Coturnix japonica: one gene and its partners. The protein of the gene in region 1 interacts with the protein of each later gene in a biochemical or structural test. Links are inferred from orthologs where the notes say so. Each region holds a gene or a part of one and is shown on either strand. Other genes may lie near its edges.

Region 1 (3,745 bases):
TTCCCACAGGTACTTAATTCTGAAAACATGACACAGGGAGTGATTCAAAGCAATTAACATGCTGCAAATGTAACATATACAAACAAATACAATCTGGTGGAACACAGTTGGTTTTGCCACATTTTTGCTATTTGTAATAACCATAAAAAGCCAGTATTTTAATCTGTGATTTTCTAAATGCATGCTTCTGTTTTACCTGGAACAGAAACCATCAGTGATCAACAGGAAGGGCAATCACAAGACACAACATTTTTGTTGCCTATTTACAGTGGCCAGAACTCCAAAGATACTCTTTAAATTGTTGCATGCAGAAGAAAAGCGTAAGCCTGAAAGTACACGCTATTTAATTTCATTCTGTCAAAATGACAAGGCATCTTCCTCCTGCCTATGGATGATGTGGCTACTCTAGCTGGAAACTACCCATCATATACATTGGAGAGCCTACAAATGTGTAAGTTAAACCTACGAAACACATTGATAATGTTCAAGGTACTGCATGTCAGGCTTTGCACATTATCTACCATGTGCTCACCTGTGACTAAGGGAGTTTGTGCAGTTGGCTGCTCCAGTAAGACCATGTGCTGCAGAAGAGGGTTGTGTGTGGTTCCCCCATCTCTTTCCAACGCTGTAGTGCTCAAGTAGGGAGTGAGGTGGGTGCCAGGAAATAAAGAGATCCGCTGCTGCAAGGCTGGGATAGCAAGTCTCTCAGCATCCTGCTGCGCGGATCCTCCCTGCAAACACCCAGGTGATGTCAGTGTGGGTTAAAGGAGAAATCAAGCACCAATTCAAAGCCCATGTTCCCCATCACTTACACTGGAAGGGCCGGTGGCAGGCAGTCCTAGTGTGATGTTGGGCAAAGAAGGAGACGTGTAGAGTGGAAGCTGCGTTACGGAGCCTTCGCGATTCACCAGTCGGTGAGCCAGGCTGGTCTGCAAAGAAAAGGAAAACGCTGTCCCAGTGAGACTGCACCACCCATCAGAGAGGGAGGACGCTGCTCAGCGCTTGTGAGGGCCCAGCAGGAGAGTACAGAGCAGGAAACTTCACTTCTGACATTGGGAATACTGAAAGAGGGAGGTAAGCTGTGCTTCAAGACCCAGCCTTACTTCTCTTTCCATAGCGTTTGCCCTTTTAAAGCAAAAACAGATTACCATAACAATAAGAAAGGCATTACTGCAGTGGTTGTTTTCTTTAGCAAATCACAGACAATTTACCCTATTTACCAGCATGCTTTAGCTGAAATCAGACTTCGAAATTTCATCAAAGGGCCTTTTTATGTTGCCATTCCCCGATTTTCAGGCTGAAATGTAAGATTTACTGAATTACCTTGTGGCCATTTAAAGCAGGAGCACTTAAGTAAAAACACCTAATTACAAAATGAGATTGATTTGAAATACTTGGTAGAAAGCCCATTATAAAAATTACATTATTTTAAAGTGCCTGATTTTTCTATTAAGAAAGAAGTGTTCCATTCACTTAAATCACCTTCAGTAAAACTTAAAAAAGCAGCTTAAATAAACAACTTAAATCAAACAGCGCTTAGATTTCAGGAAGATTTGCTATGGAATATCTACTGTTTTAACTCTGTTGCTGCTGTGGATAAGAAAGTGATAATGGTTAATCTAGTATGTATCAATGACACACATTATTCCCATAGCAAAAGAGAACTGGATAATGGATTTGTACATTTCAGACCTAAACAGTTATGTGAGGAAATGGGACTTGGCAGGTTACTTCCTTGATTGCAAGACTCGGCCAACTCTGGGTAACAAAAACCTGTTTTTCCCCTCAAAAGGTGTAACGTGGTAACATCACTACAGCAACCACTGGGGTGAGGGAAAAAAGGGCAGTAAAATAAGAAAAAATACTGAAAAAAAAATAATGCACAGCAACCTCAAATAATGCACAGCAACCTTCAGAAGCAATCCCGCCTCCTTGGTTCACAGCAAACCTGGTGGGCCAGTTGATGTCTCTAACAGGAGAGCCCAACTCTATGAGCTGCGAGTTAGTGATGCCCGTGGAAGAAGAGCAAACCTGCCCATGACTGCATGAGTAACCCTTACAGGACCCTTATGACCTGCAGCTCGTGGTCCCAGCACCCAACCAGGTCTGAATTCCATACATCAAGCAAAGCTGCTTAACTTTCATACAATACCGTGCGAAATTTCATCTGCGGAGTGAATTTTTTATTTCCCTTTGTCTTATTGTGCCTTCATTAACGTCAGTCAAGCTTATGGGAAATATATTAAACAGTAAATCTGCTTTTAAGATCTCGGTTACAAATTTGCTGCCACAAAGGAGGAAATTGGAAAAGAGCATTTTGCTGCTGAATGGTACCTGCTATGGGCGTATGATTGTGCATACCCACACACTCCTCTTTCCTAGTAATTCTGAACACTACTGGCAATTTTCCTTTAATTTAAATAACACAAAATGTTATCACGCCACATTGAGAGCAAGATAGTTATTGCCAGCAGAGTAATGAAATATTTTACTGATACCGTAAACGAAATCAACCAACATCCATTTTCTCTTTGAACCATCGGTAAAGTGGAGTTGTGCCTCAAAACATCTCCTGGGGATTCGTTTCAAAAACAATGATGAGAAAAACACTACAAGCGTAAGATATTTAGCAGCATTATCATCGCTTTAAATACACAAATCCCATCACTGGATTGTACACAAACACTGTTAGAATTGCACAGAAGAGAGCAATTTCAGCATGCACAATTTTCCCCTGTGATCGAGTACTTTTCAAAGGCAGCTAACAGCCTGCAATGGCAATGAATCTCACATACCTTTCCAAGGCAGAAAAAAACTTTCAGACCTAAAAAACATTGTTTAAAAATAGGCATTGTCTATTTTAAAGGAGGCAGTGAGCTCAAGTCTTTCTATTGGGAAGGCAAGCACTTGAACTTCAGCGATGAAGTCCAACACCACATTCCAACACACCTGGAATGGTTAAAGAGGTGAGCGAGCAAACTAACAAGCAGAAGGACACATTGCTCACTTAAAACTAGAAAGTAAAGGTAAGCATAAAACAGAAAGTTGCCAACACTGATGTTTCAGAGGCATTTCAATCAATATTCTACACAAATGTGGGAACGTAATGCGAGCCTAGTCAACTGGTATCAAAGAAATCTTAAGCTGCTGGGCTGCTAGGTAATACTTCTTGCACCAAAGAGGATTCAAAAGAAACCAAAATCTTGCCACATGTAGTTCTTCCCAAATAAACCTCTCCAGGCAAAAGGATCAGCTACTTTCATGCTACACAAAACGCAGAGCCATTTTCCCCCTAGACTGATGCAAGGAACTTGGACATTTAGCTAAGCCATTCCACCAGGCCTGAAATGCTGGGAGAACAATTTGTGCGATGGGTTATCGACGTCCTGCTTGCCATCACACAGTGATTTATACTCTATTCTGTTCTATGATGGCAGCGATCCAATATACTTTATGCAGTCCTGGACACCTTTAACATTAATACTGCACAATCATTTGTACGTTATATATTCATTATTTCCCCCCAAAAATAGGAAAAGGTAAAAACACTCCAAGCATTCTCTTCAGGGAGATCACAACTACATTTTCTTCCTGATTTTTATATAAGAAAATGGTATGTGATGTGTTGTTCTTTCTATAAGTTTAGCTCAAGGTGCTTCCTTCCCCACATGCAGAGGTGTTGCTGTGAATTAGCCACTGTAATACAGCTGCAAAAAGAGGCAAAGGGAAGGTGGTGGCCTTTGAA
Region 2 (4,029 bases), on another chromosome or scaffold:
TTCTTTACTAGGAGAGTGGTTAGGCCCTGGAACAGGCTGCCCAGGGAGGTTGTGGATGCCCCATCCTTGGAGGTGTTCAAGGCCAGGTTGGACGGGGCCCTGGGCAACCTGATCTAGTAAAGGTGTATGTTTGGTGGCCCTGCCAGGCAGGGGGGTTGGACTTGCTTGTTTCTTGAGGTCCCTTCCAACCCGGGTCATTCTGTGATTCTGTGATTTTATAGAAGGCCTCTGACTCACAGTTAGAAACGAATCCAGGAGGCAGCATGTGAGGAAGCACACAGTATTTTCAATACAATCCAAAGCACCCTTGTACATGAGCCAAAACACTTCTCAAGATGCAAAATCCATTACTTCCAAACCAGCCATCTTTAACCTCAGGTCTCCTAACCCGATTCAGGGTTAAATCAAAAACTGTTTATTTCCTTACTCACTTCCTTTCTCATGCTTGCAATACTAGACATCAAAAATACACAGCTTAACCACTGAAGATGACATGCCACACCATCAGCACTGCACTACACACACACAGCTTCCTGCAGTCAGTAGACCCTGATCACACACAACAGGCTTGCACACTTCCCATGTTGCTGACACAGGTCTGTGGAGCTCCTGCTGCACTGCAATGCTGCTTCACCATCAACAGCATCTGGAATTCTGCTCCTCACATGGAAATATATTGCTGGGCTTTGAAACATGCCCAGGTGCACAATACCTGTCATGGAATATCCTGTTTCCAAGCCACAGTTGTGCATTAGTCCAAAATAACTGCAAATTCACTTTTAACAGCCCCCACTAAATCAACTTGAGTGTGACAAAGCAGATTTCTACCTTTTTCTTTCCTACTTTCAAGGAAGATGTCTTCCTTTATGAAATCATACCTTATTACCTAGGAAAGAAAATCTAAAAAATGCCTCTTTAAGGCCTTTAAAGAGTGTTTTTCCTCACATGAAGCAGCACATTAAATGAACGCCATTAATTTAAATGCATTTAACAGGTTACTAGCACCAACCTTCAGAAATAAAGGGCTTTCATTTTCTTTTCAGCTTACCTTGTGAAGATTAGCTTACAAACCAAAGCACAAGCCTAAATTCCCTGCATCTCTGTGCTCAGCTAGCGTAGTACTGCACACAGGTAACTCCATCAGATGTGCATCTCAAACACAGCTTAGCACACCTCGATTACTTCTGCATATACAGCACCCGCAGCAAAGTGCAGATGATTTTCTGTCTCAAAGTAACCAATATGGCAGCTGCAAAAGTTACTGAACTACCCACTCCAGCATAATAGCTCACATAGTGCCCAGCCCATTTCCCACCCTCCTCAAAACAGCAGCATCCCGCTTCTCTCTTTTGATAAAACACGGAAAAAGGAAAGGCCCCACTCACCAGCACCGTGGTGCAGATGGACCTGAGCTCAGACTCCACCTTCTCCCTATAGTCCTTGATAAGCTGCATCTTCTTGTCGCTGGTGTCTGTCTTTTGCTCGATGCTGGAGATAACCCTCCAGGCAGAGCGTCGCCCCCCCACCACATTCTTGTAGGCCACCGAGAGCAGGTTGCGCTCCTCGTTGGACAGCTCAGCCCCCTGTTCCGTCACCGCCTTCATGCAGGTGGCCATGTCGTCATAGCGCTCAGCCTGCTCCGCCAGCTTGGCTTTCTGGATCAACTCGGTCTTATCCATGGTGGCCGGCGGCAGGACGAGGGCAGTGTTGTAGCAAAGGCAGGAGAAGCTGAGGACGTCACTCTGCCAGCAAGAGAACGAGCCTCAGAGCCTGCCAGGAGAAGGACAGCAACCGTGACTCCAGGAGCCAACGCTGTGGATGGTGTCCTTGCAGCCCCCTTACTGGGACTGTAGGGAGCTCCCCATTCCCAAGTACATCCCATGGCGCAGCACTGGCACCGTCCCTCCCTTGGGCAGAAGCAGGCACTGGTACCGGGCCCACCCTGGGGAAGCAACAGCCCAGAAACCCAGCCGGGGATGGGTCACAGTCCCTCGGCCAGAGGACCGAGCACCGGGCAGTCGTACCAACGTACCACAGCGGCTTTTGTCCTTACTGTGCCAACACACTTAAGAGCTGCTCAATGGAGCCGCACAGCAGGACACCCAGCTCCCAGGCAGCCCGAGGGCCTTCCCCACGTGCCTTCACCCCGCAGGGGAGGGCAAAGAAAAAGGAGGAAACAGAAAAAAAAGCTATTTAAAAAGAAAGAAAGGAGAACAGCGCGCTCGGAGCTGAGGCCGCAGCTCAGCGGGGCTGGAGACAACGCCGGGGCCGGGCGGGGCCGGGCGGGCAGCTCGGGCCGCTTCGCCTCCTGGCGGCGGGGCGAGGCGGGACCATCCCCCCGGCGGGAGCGGCCCCGGCCCCGGCACGGAGCCCCTCCATTCCCGGCCGCTGGGTGGGGTCGGGGCCCGGCGGCTCCGCGTTGGCCTCGTCCCCGGGGACCGCGAAGCGGGGGGCGGCGGAGCGGGACGAGCGTGGCCGGGCGCGGAGGACGAAGCCCCGGCGGGTACGAAATGGCGGCGCCGCCCGGCGGCTCGTTCCGCAACCCGGCACCGCCGAGCGCTCCACGCCGCGCTCACAAAATGGAGGACGCGGCGCCGAGGCGGGGCACGGCGGCACGGCCGGCGGGAAGCGGCCCACGCCGCGCTCACCTGAGTCCGCTGCGCTGCGCTGCGCTAGGCCGGGCCGGGCCGCACCCGATCGGCTGCGCCTCGCTCGGGATGTGGCGGAGAGAAAGAGCCGCTCCCGAAGCGGGCGAGAGCCAGCGCTAAAGGGCGTTGGCACGGCCGAGCCTACCCGCCGCTCGGCCCGCGCCCACGCGGCCAATCGCGGCCTCTCCTGCGAGCCAGGCCCCGCCCCTCCGCTCCCCGCCGGCCAATCCGAGGGCAGCGCGCCGCCGCGGGGGCGAGCGCGGGCAGGGCGCGAGCTCGGTTGGCCCGTGGGCTGCGGCTGGGGCCACGGGGTTTCCTCCAATTAGATCCAGGGTGAGATGACGTCACTGTCGCCATGGCGATACTGCTACAACCCCCCCCCCGCCCAACCCCCGCTCCACCACGGTGGGTCGGCACCGACACGGCGCGGGAACGGGCGGGGGCGGCCGGCGGGGGCTGCCCGTGCTGTGGGGGCTGCCCGTGCTGTGGGGGCTGCCCGTGCTGTGGGGGCTGCCCGTGCTGTGGGGGCTGCCCGTGCTTTAGCTCCCTGGCTGTGTCGCCATGGGGCCGTGCGGGGCGGGCTCGGTGCCCCCTCCGTAGGGCGGCTGTGGGAGGACACAGTGCGTGGTGCCGAGGCTGGGCTGCGGGCTGGGCTGCCCGGCGCCCTCCCGGCGCGTTGTCTCCTGTCAGGAATGCTGCCTTTGTGCCGCCGCTCGGTCGGGCGAGAGATTTCAGAGAGAGGGAAGATTTAGGTTGGATGTTAGGGGGAAGTTCTTCACTAGGAGAGTGGTTAGGTCCTGGAACAGGCTGCCCAGGGAGGTTGTGGATGCCCCGTCCTTGGAGGTGTTCAAGACCAGGTTGGACGGGGCCCTGGGCAACCTGATCTAGTAAAGGTGTATGTTTGGTGGCCCTGCCAGGCAGGGGGGTTGGAACTACATGATCCTTGAGGTCCCTTCCAACCCGGGTCATTCTGTGAGCTGTGCCCCAGGAGCCCGGTGACAGGAAATTGCTCGTGAAGAGTTAATGGCGCTGTGCCGTGGGGCCCTGAGCGGGGAGCGACCCGCGCTGACATCAGTAACCATCGATGTCCATTGGTCCTAAAGGCCTCAGGCTCAAACCTCCCTTCAAACAGCACAGTGTCTACGTGAAGCAGTGAAATCCCTCACCTTTGCTTCCAGCATCACCAAATTTAGTCATGTCCTGCTACTCCAGCATCCTGAAGGGATGATGAATGCTCTGAATCACCTCAGGATGTTGTCGTCTCAGCTCGGAGTGCTCCTGTCTGTGTTCAGATAGGGCTGTGATGAGGCATGTGGGCATTAGGTCTGTGCTGTGAACCGACACTGCCGGTCATTTCAATGGAGGGATGCATTTACTCTGT
Region 3 (3,963 bases), on another chromosome or scaffold:
GCCAGGGCCTGGGCTGGGAGTATGGCTGCATGTAACAGCGTGCGCCTTGGCGGCGGGTGTGGAAGCAGCCACATTTGGGAAGGGTTTTAGGCACGTTGTAATGATTTCCAACTTCGGACTGTGAAGAATGCTGCCGTTACCACCATCAGCAGCTCTTCACCTGCTGCTGCTGCTTTGGCTTTAAATATTTTGGACAGAAATCTTATGGATGAAATGTCTATAAAACCAGATGCGTTGATACTTCAGCCGCACCATTTCCCACACACAGCCGCTTTACCCCACTCTCAGCACGGCTCTCAGTGACACGACAGCGGCATTCCCAGCCCTTCTAACCGAGCACGGTGCACGCTCCGTGTTGGGACCCCCGCTGTCGTCCAACCCTCCTCCGGTGCTGCGGAGCCGCCCTTCCCCGCTGCAGGACCGAGCCCAAGGTCACAGCCCCCGAGCCCACCCCGCGCTGCGGAGCCCCGGGAGGAGAAGAAGGAGGAGAAGGAGGAGGAGGAGGAGGTGGGGGGGGTGTCGCGCGGTCCCGCTTCCCTCCGGCTGCCGCCGCGCGCGCCCCCGAGCACGGCCGCCCCCCCGCCCCCGCGGGGCGGTTGTTGACGTCAGCGGTCGCCGAGGAACGGGCCGCAGGTGCATCCGTTTCCTCGGGGCCGGCGGCGCCTCCCGCCTCCGTGCCGGGTGCGGATCGAATCGGATCGGCCCTTCGCGCGGCCGTTCCCCGAGCGCGGAGCCCCCCTTGCCAGAGCGGCCCCGACGGGCGGCGGCAGAGAGCCGCGACGGGGCGGCCGCGAGCGCTGGGCTCGTATCGCTAGGGGGAGGCACGGCACCGGGAATCGGCGCGGAGCGAGGCAAGGCGGCCCCGCTGCCCGCGGGCTCGGGAGAACGTAGGGCCGGGGCGCCCCGTCGCCGGCTGCCGCGCCGCGCCCCCCGGCCCGGTTTTGCTTTCCCTTTCGGTGCCGCCTCTCCGCCGCGACGTTTTATTTATTTATTTTCCCAGAGGGTGGGGACGAGGGGAGGGGAGAGACTCGCCGCGGGGACGAGCCGCCTGGCGGGGAGGAGGCGGCCCCGACACGAGAGGCGGCGGCGGCGGCGGCGGGGAGGGGAGAGACTCGCCGCGGGGACGAGCCGCCTGGCGGGGAGGAGGCGGCCCCGACACGAGAGGCGGCGGCGGCGGCGGCGGCGGGGAGGAGAAGCCGGCGCGGAGCCGCTCCTCGCATCGCCTCGCCCACCCCGCAGCCCCTCCGCCGCCTCGCCTCCCCTGGCCGCCGGAGGCACCGGCGGCCGCCCGTCCCCATGATGGCCTCAACCGCCACCTGCACCCGCTTCACCGACGAGTACCAGCTCTACGAGGAGCTCGGCAAGTAAGTACGGGGCCGCTCCGGGGACGAGGGGGGAGAGGAGGGAAACACTGAGAGTCGGGGGGGCTCCGTCCCCGCGGGTTGGGGTGTGCGGGGCGATGCCTGCAGCCCTGCCTCGTCCCCGGGCGTCGCTTCAAGGCTGAGACTCGGTCCGTGAGCACAGCTCCGGGTGGGCGGCAATCCCTGCGGGTGCTGCGGGCGGTGACGGGCTGCCCTGCTGCCGGGCTGCCCTGCCGGCGGCAGCCGGAGCTCGCTACCCCCGACACGACCGCGGCCGGTTCGTCGGGCGCCCCCCTGCGTTGGGGCGCGTATCCCCGATCGCCATGTTGGCACGGACACGGGGACCCGGGGCCGCAACGTGCCGCCGCCGGGAGAGCGCTTCGGTCGCACCGCTCGAAACAGCGGCTCTGAGCAGCGTTTTGCTGTTGCGTTGATTAAAATGAGCGCTGACCGTCTCTGACAAGCCTCCCTTCTTCTTACAATTTATTTTTCTTATTATCCCGTTCCCTCCCCCCCTTAATTCTTTGGGCATCGTTCCGCTCCTTTAGATGTGTGGCAGCGCGGTGGTAATGGCAGGGCGCTGTTCGGGTGGCACTGACGCTCTGTCCCCTCTTGGCTTGCAGAGGAGCGTTCTCGGTCGTGAGGCGATGTATGAAAATCACCACAGGACAGGAGTATGCTGCCAAAATCATCAACACCAAAAAGCTCTCGGCCAGGGGTGGGTATATTCCATATATTCCAACCGAGCGTTTACGATATCTTCTCCTCATTTCTTGCATTCTTGTGGCGAGCGTTAAAACGGAGCACAGAATAATAAGAATTAAGGTTATTAATTTTCTCAGTAATTTTCTTCATTTCCTTTCAGGCAGTGGTTCTTTTTTATGCTAAACGTTTCAGAGGTTAACCGTATGGAGGGCTGTGTTGCTGTACCTTAAAGGGAAGCTTTATGAAGTGATTTAAATGAGTGCATCCTCTTCCCGTTTTTACATTGGAAAAACTGGAAAGGATTGTACACTCTGATTTTTTTAGGGGAAGGCTGGGAAACAAGTTGACATTGCGGCTTTTATCATAAATATGTGTTTTCTTTTCTGAATTCAAAGTTTCCATTGCATTTAAACTGAAACGTGAAAAAGGCCTATTTGAATCCGTGGAGAAGAGTGTGATGCCCCCTCCTGTACTGAACTTTGTGATGAGATCCCGGGGAAAGGGAAAATTCCTTTTTTGAAGCGTCCATTTGTGAACACAAGTCATTCTGAATGACACATTGTGTCACAGCTCCAGCCCAGCATTAATGCCTGCTGCACCGCATGCTTAGGTTTTACTGTAACATGTTTGTTTCCCTTATGTTCTGCCTGTCAGTGGGAAGTCGTGGTGATACATTTGGGTGGTCACGTGTGTGCTGTAGGTTACTGCTGTCGGCAGCAAGCCTCAATGGAGATATGTCAATTCCTTGTTAAACCCACGTCAAAGTGATTGTAGGAGGATGTCGAGGATTAGGGATTATTCTCTGTTAACACTACCTGTGTTTTGATGTGAGTTTGTGATATGGTAAAGAATGTGAAAGTGAATAAGCAAGTGGTGTCAGCTCTGTAGTCTTCCTTAGAAGTCATCATTTGAGACATGCTGTTTTTCAGGCTTTCATTTTGTGCTTCCTTGGCTGTTCAGGCAGGACCGAGTTGGTCCTCACTGCAGCCCATTGATGCACCCAGACCTGCTGGGGAGAATTTGGCTGGCAAGGTGGAATGTAGCAAAACTCATGCAAAGAAAAATTTCTGTTGGTTTGAAGTGTAGGCCCATAAAGCAAGGAGTTGGGTTTTCGAGGTTGGTAACTGGGCTGTGAAATATTCTTCCATATGTGAATGAATGTGATGCTGTGTCCACGAATGCAGTGGATCCATTTCCATCTTGGCTTTCAAAGATTCCAGATTTTATTTTATTATTTTAGTTTACATGCACTGCTGTTCTTTAGCTTTTATCTTTTGGAAGACAAATAACAACATCTCAGCAGCTTTTGAAGAGCAAGCTCCTTACAGAGATCCTGGGATTCCTCTTAAGCAATTCTGCAGTTACAAAAGGGTGTTACTTGCAGTGCCTCTGTCTGTGATACTTTAACGTGACTGATACTAAGTATGCAGCTTACAACTCGGACTACATTTCAAGTAGTATCTAAATTATAAGTTTCATTCTCCTCCTGTCTGATCTGCTTTATGATGAGGTAGCAGTTCACTTTGATGTTTCCAGCTTCTCACCTGAAATACAGATCATAATGTAAATCTGAAGGTTATTGGGTGAGCTTCATCTGTGAGCGGTTAGAGGTTCTCAGCTTGCCATGTATCCCATGTACAACCCTGCTTGTCTGTAACTCTGAAGCACTACATCAAATTTGAGCCTTCTTGCTTGCAAGACAGAGTTGCCATTACAGTGTTTTGATGGGGAGGAGTCACGGCTGTTAATCTAAAGGAGAACTCAACATGATTTGAGTTGAAAAATTATTTGACTGTGTCAGCCTTGATACAACAATAATTGTCACTCCAGCCACAAATGATGTTGGAGATTGTTTGGATCCTTCCCTTAGCAGCCCTTCTAAACACAGGGTGATGTC
Region 4 (4,176 bases), on another chromosome or scaffold:
AACAAAGGAAATTGATATAAACTCCCATCACCCTTCCAAAAGAGTTCTAACAGCAAAGACATCTTTTTCAGAATATAGTTAACCACTTCAAGCTTTAAATACAGTCTCTAACACTAGTAGAAGTTTCTCTCACGAGTGCATAACAACCTGAATATACATACCTCAGTAATAAAACTTCTTAATCAGAGTGTGTGGATGTGGTCATTTAACACCATTAGGTTGGGGAGCACCATCATTCTGCTCTTACACTCCTCTTCCTCAGAAGGATGGGGAGGAGATGTGAAAAACTTTCATGTGTTAAGGTAAGGACAGGGATATCAGTCACCAGCTACTGTCAAAGCAAAGCAGACTGGAAGTGTGAGAACTGAAAGCCAACTGAAAACACTACCTTCCTTGCCCGCTCTCTTCTATTTCCCCACCCTGTGAGTGGCGCAGGGGAACTGGGAGTGGGGCTGCAGTCTGTAATGCTTCGTCCCTGCTGCTCCTCCATGGTTTCTCTCTGCCCCTCCTCCACATGGGGTCCCTCCATCCTTCTCAAACTGATGCCTCATGGCCTTCCCACAGGCTGCAGCTCTCCAAGCACTGCCCCAGCACAGCTCTGTACCACAGGGCCCACCCTTCAGGCACTGCTCCACATGGGTCCCCATCAGCAGCAGCTCCCCCAGCCTTCCTGCCCCACCACAGGCTTCACCCCACAGGTTGCAGCTTCAGATGCAGCTGCTCCTGCAGGGGCTCCCCATGTGCTGTGGCTCCTCCAGGCCTCATCCACTGCTGCACCATGGGCTCCTCCATGGCTGCACATGGAGATCTGCTTCGTATGGTACCTGTGGGCTGCAGGAGGATGCCCTGCTCCTCCATGGGCCTCTCCTGGGCTGCAGGCAGCTTTTGTTGAGCAAACCGGTTGTGGCTTTGGGGTCTGATAACCTTTCCTGTTAACATTCAGATCCATTTCTCTCTCCAGGAGGGAATGTTTCAAGAGAGATTTATCTCTCCTGTGTTTCTCAGGCCAAACGTTAGCAGGTGAATAGTACCTAAGCTGTGCTACAGAAGCGCAAATATACTAATGTGTACAAGGAAGAACCCGAGGAATGTAGCAAATGACCTCAAATTCTTTGCCAAGTGAAGGATTTTGTACTTGTTTTTAGTGATGTCATGTATATAGTTTTACATTGCTTCCTGTGCATGTACTTCAGCATGTGGACCAGAAGTCTGCCAGACCACTTTGTGGTCATATACGTGTCCTGGTTTGTTCTTGGGGCTGCCCGTTGCTTTATTTTCATCCTCTTTTTCTTGTTTCTTCACCAGGTTCATCCATAAAATTCCAAAATAAGTGTGTCTAAACTCCAAGGCTCACCTCACAGCAGTTTATAGAGCTGTGCGAATGCATGGGAGACTTCAGATGGCCTAAGTGGACATCATTCTGTGGCTGTGGAAAGGGGTGATCCTACAGTTCCAAGCCACCAGTGGTGCAGCAGTAGCATTTTTATGGTAATGTAATGAGTTAAGTCATTCATTGGGCTGAAAACTAACACAAACTAACATAAAGCTTTGCTTCTGGCTATGAGGTCACAGATATACCAGTGCTGGCATCAGGGGGTGCAGGCAGGAGCAGACCTCAAACTTGTGTTCAGCCTGTAGAAGGCCCTGGGGTGCTCTCATTGCAACCTTCCAGTAAATGGAAGCTTCTAAACAGGAGGGAGGCTAACTTTTGACATGCTCTGATAGCGATGGGAAAAGACTGAACAATTTTAAAGAGGAGAGATTTAGATTAGGTGTTAGGGGGAAAGTCTTTCCTCAGAGGGTGGTGAGGTGTTGGAACAGGTTGCCCAGAGAATTTGTGGGTGCCCCATCGCTGGAGGTATTAAGGACCGAGCAGGATTTAGCCCTGGGCAGCCTGAGCCAGTGGGGGACAGCACTGCCCATGGCAGAGGAGTTGGAGCTGGGTGGGCTTGAAAATGGTCCCTTCCTGCGAAGCTGTTCTGTAATTCCACTTAAGAAAACATCTGTTGGAATACAGTATCACAGCATCACAGTCTCACAGTCTTGTGCAGGTTGGAAGGGACCTTAGAGATCATCGAGTCCAACCCCCGGGATTTGAGCCCCTGTGTAGCAGAGCGGCACTTCTACCACTTGCGCCACAGGGGGGATTCAAACCGGGCATCAGCAGGCTTGAAAATCTTTCCTAGTGGTTGTTTTGCAGCTCACTGTATGTGTGAGTGCTTTAATAGAGCACTCCTGCAAAGATATTGGTACTGATTAGATTTTCTAAGGAGAGAATGCTTTTCAACGTAAGGTTTAGTCTTAGATGTTTTATGTATCTACCTGTCATCTTCTCAATTTAATGAATTAATGAATTAATTTAAGAGTTCATTGGGATAGTAGATAGTTCCTAGAAGTGCTAGCAAAGTTAAAGGGGGAAAATCGATTATACTTGTTATATGTACAGCTTTCCTACATATATAACTACTTCTATTAACACTTTGTCTGCAACGTAAAAGCTATATAATTCAAATATATTCTGTATTTGAAACAAATATTGTGTATAGATAAATCCTTTAATGTAAGAGTACTGTCTTGCCTTGTATAAGTGTTCCTAATACAACTTGTGTCAGAAAATGAAGTGTAGTGCTTCATAATTTGTGTCTGTTCCTTTCACAAACTGCCTAATGAATATCTGGACATAGATGCCCAGACAAACAATGCATACATCTGGATACTTAATGCTGCATTACAGCAGTAATGTATTAAATCCTAGAAAAACCTTCTCATGAAGATCTGGACTTCTTACCCTGCAACCGTAATACTGATGCTAAGTGTAGAATTGGCCTTCAGACACTCTTACTTGCACAAATGGATCCGTGTGTATTTAGAAGTTAAATTTTTTGCCCTTGATTTGCATCAACAAAATTGGCCAGGTTCTAGTTTTAAGGTGTTAATTATGTCCCTGCTAATGTCAGGGCCAATAATAACCTTCTGTTCTCAGGGAGTTCATTATTTTGTTGCTCTTTGTGAGAATAGTGAGGGAAAATGTGAGTTGAGTACAAAGATACAGAAGGTTGCAAATAGGAGATAATTTATTACTTTCACAGTATAATTAAGCTTCACATTTTTGCAGGGATGTCACCTGCAGACAATTATGAGTGTGATTTACGTCTATGGACCCTATTTTCCCGAAGGTGTTTTTTATTAGAAAGGCTGTAGATGTTAAGCATCTTCTTTCCTTTTTTTGTTTTTTGACAGGAAATTCTGGTGATTAACAGTCATGGCAACCATAGAGGAACTGGCCCATCAAATTATTGAGCAGCAAATGGGAGAGGTACAGAATTTTTTCATCATATTTAGGAGGCATTGAATAATAAAATGGACAGAGTAAGATGTAAAAATCCAGGTCCCAAGAGAAAGTAATTCTTAGTACACTCCAAGCTTCAGGAGACCCTCACATGGAAGATGAACTTATTGATTACCATCAAAGTTGTCATTATATAGATGTTACATTCCAGTTACAGAATTCATTCGTTGTCACTTTTGTTCTTATAAGTAAAGGCTTGCTGTGGTCTGCATTGTAAAATATTGGTTGACATTTGGTGTAAGTCAGAGGGAAACTGAACTCTTTCTGTTGGCTCCTGTTTTTCATTTCCTTTAACCTATATACAAAGTGTGCATACTGCAGCTAAAGAACTTCCAGAGATGCACAAGCAGTTTGGAAGTGTGAATCAGTGTATACATACTTAACTAGAACATTCGATCATTAGCAGCGCTTTAAATTAGATAAAAGCAGAAAACAACATTTATTAGCTTGAAATATCCACTCTTGGTTCCCTGTCTAGTACTGTGGATAGGATAAGATTGCACGTAATTTTAGTTCCTCTCGGTCTTGATTTCAAATGTAACAGCTGGGGACATGCAGGATGGTAAATCTGTTCTGTATAAATTCTTACGCTTTTCAGTATTGTAGCATCTGAGAACTACTAAGGTAGTTGTAATTTTTTTTCTTTCTCTCCCTTTTCCTCTTTACAGGGGGGAATGGTGTGTGTAGCGTAGCTTTGTTTGGTAGGATAAGTCCTTGGGGAAGCCTAGGTGGGGCTGTAATTCCTGTTTCTTGTGTTTTGGAAACTGGGGATTAGTCGAAGCTGGCTGAAGCATGTGTTCCAGTTGCAGAGGAGGATGGCAAGTTTA

What was found.
Region 2: the proteins of HDAC4 (region 1) and YWHAQ are reported together in a solved structure, tested with the Homo sapiens proteins (2 studies listed by BioGRID, with this or other methods). The link is inferred for Coturnix japonica from reciprocal best matches to the Homo sapiens genes HDAC4 and YWHAQ.
Region 3: of the proteins of HDAC4 (region 1) and CAMK2D, one has a biochemical effect on the other in vitro, tested with the Homo sapiens proteins (2 studies listed by BioGRID, with this or other methods). The link is inferred for Coturnix japonica from reciprocal best matches to the Homo sapiens genes HDAC4 and CAMK2D.
Region 4: the proteins of HDAC4 (region 1) and NR2C1 form a complex in vitro, tested with the Homo sapiens proteins (2 studies listed by BioGRID). The link is inferred for Coturnix japonica from reciprocal best matches to the Homo sapiens genes HDAC4 and NR2C1.

The regions. Positions count from the first base shown.
Region 1 is NC_029522.1:3,010,482-3,014,226, reverse strand, and holds part of HDAC4 (histone deacetylase 4), read right to left. Parts: intron 930-3,745; coding exon 813-929; intron 732-812; coding exon 533-731; intron 1-532. UniProt on the Homo sapiens protein: Responsible for the deacetylation of lysine residues on the N-terminal part of the core histones (H2A, H2B, H3 and H4).
Region 2 is NC_029518.1:87,878,912-87,882,940, forward strand, and holds the start of YWHAQ (14-3-3 protein theta), read right to left. Parts: upstream 2,801-4,029; 5' UTR 2,649-2,800; intron 1,771-2,648; 5' UTR 1,680-1,770; coding exon 1,386-1,679; intron 1-1,385. UniProt on the Homo sapiens protein: Adapter protein implicated in the regulation of a large spectrum of both general and specialized signaling pathways. Binds to a large number of partners, usually by recognition of a phosphoserine or phosphothreonine motif.
Region 3 is NC_029519.1:50,655,346-50,659,308, forward strand, and holds the start of CAMK2D (calcium/calmodulin-dependent protein kinase type II subunit delta), read left to right. Parts: upstream 1-1,163; 5' UTR 1,164-1,296; coding exon 1,297-1,364; intron 1,365-1,954; exon of another isoform or gene 1,955-1,984; coding exon 1,985-2,079; intron 2,080-3,963. UniProt on the Homo sapiens protein: Calcium/calmodulin-dependent protein kinase involved in the regulation of Ca(2+) homeostatis and excitation-contraction coupling (ECC) in heart by targeting ion channels, transporters and accessory proteins involved in Ca(2+) influx into the myocyte, Ca(2+) release from the sarcoplasmic reticulum (SR), SR Ca(2+) uptake and Na(+) and K(+) channel transport.
Region 4 is NC_029516.1:41,307,213-41,311,388, reverse strand, and holds the start of NR2C1 (nuclear receptor subfamily 2 group C member 1), read left to right. Parts: upstream 1-1,376; 5' UTR 1,377-1,488; intron 1,489-3,240; 5' UTR 3,241-3,262; coding exon 3,263-3,316; intron 3,317-4,176. UniProt on the Homo sapiens protein: Orphan nuclear receptor. Binds the IR7 element in the promoter of its own gene in an autoregulatory negative feedback mechanism. Primarily repressor of a broad range of genes.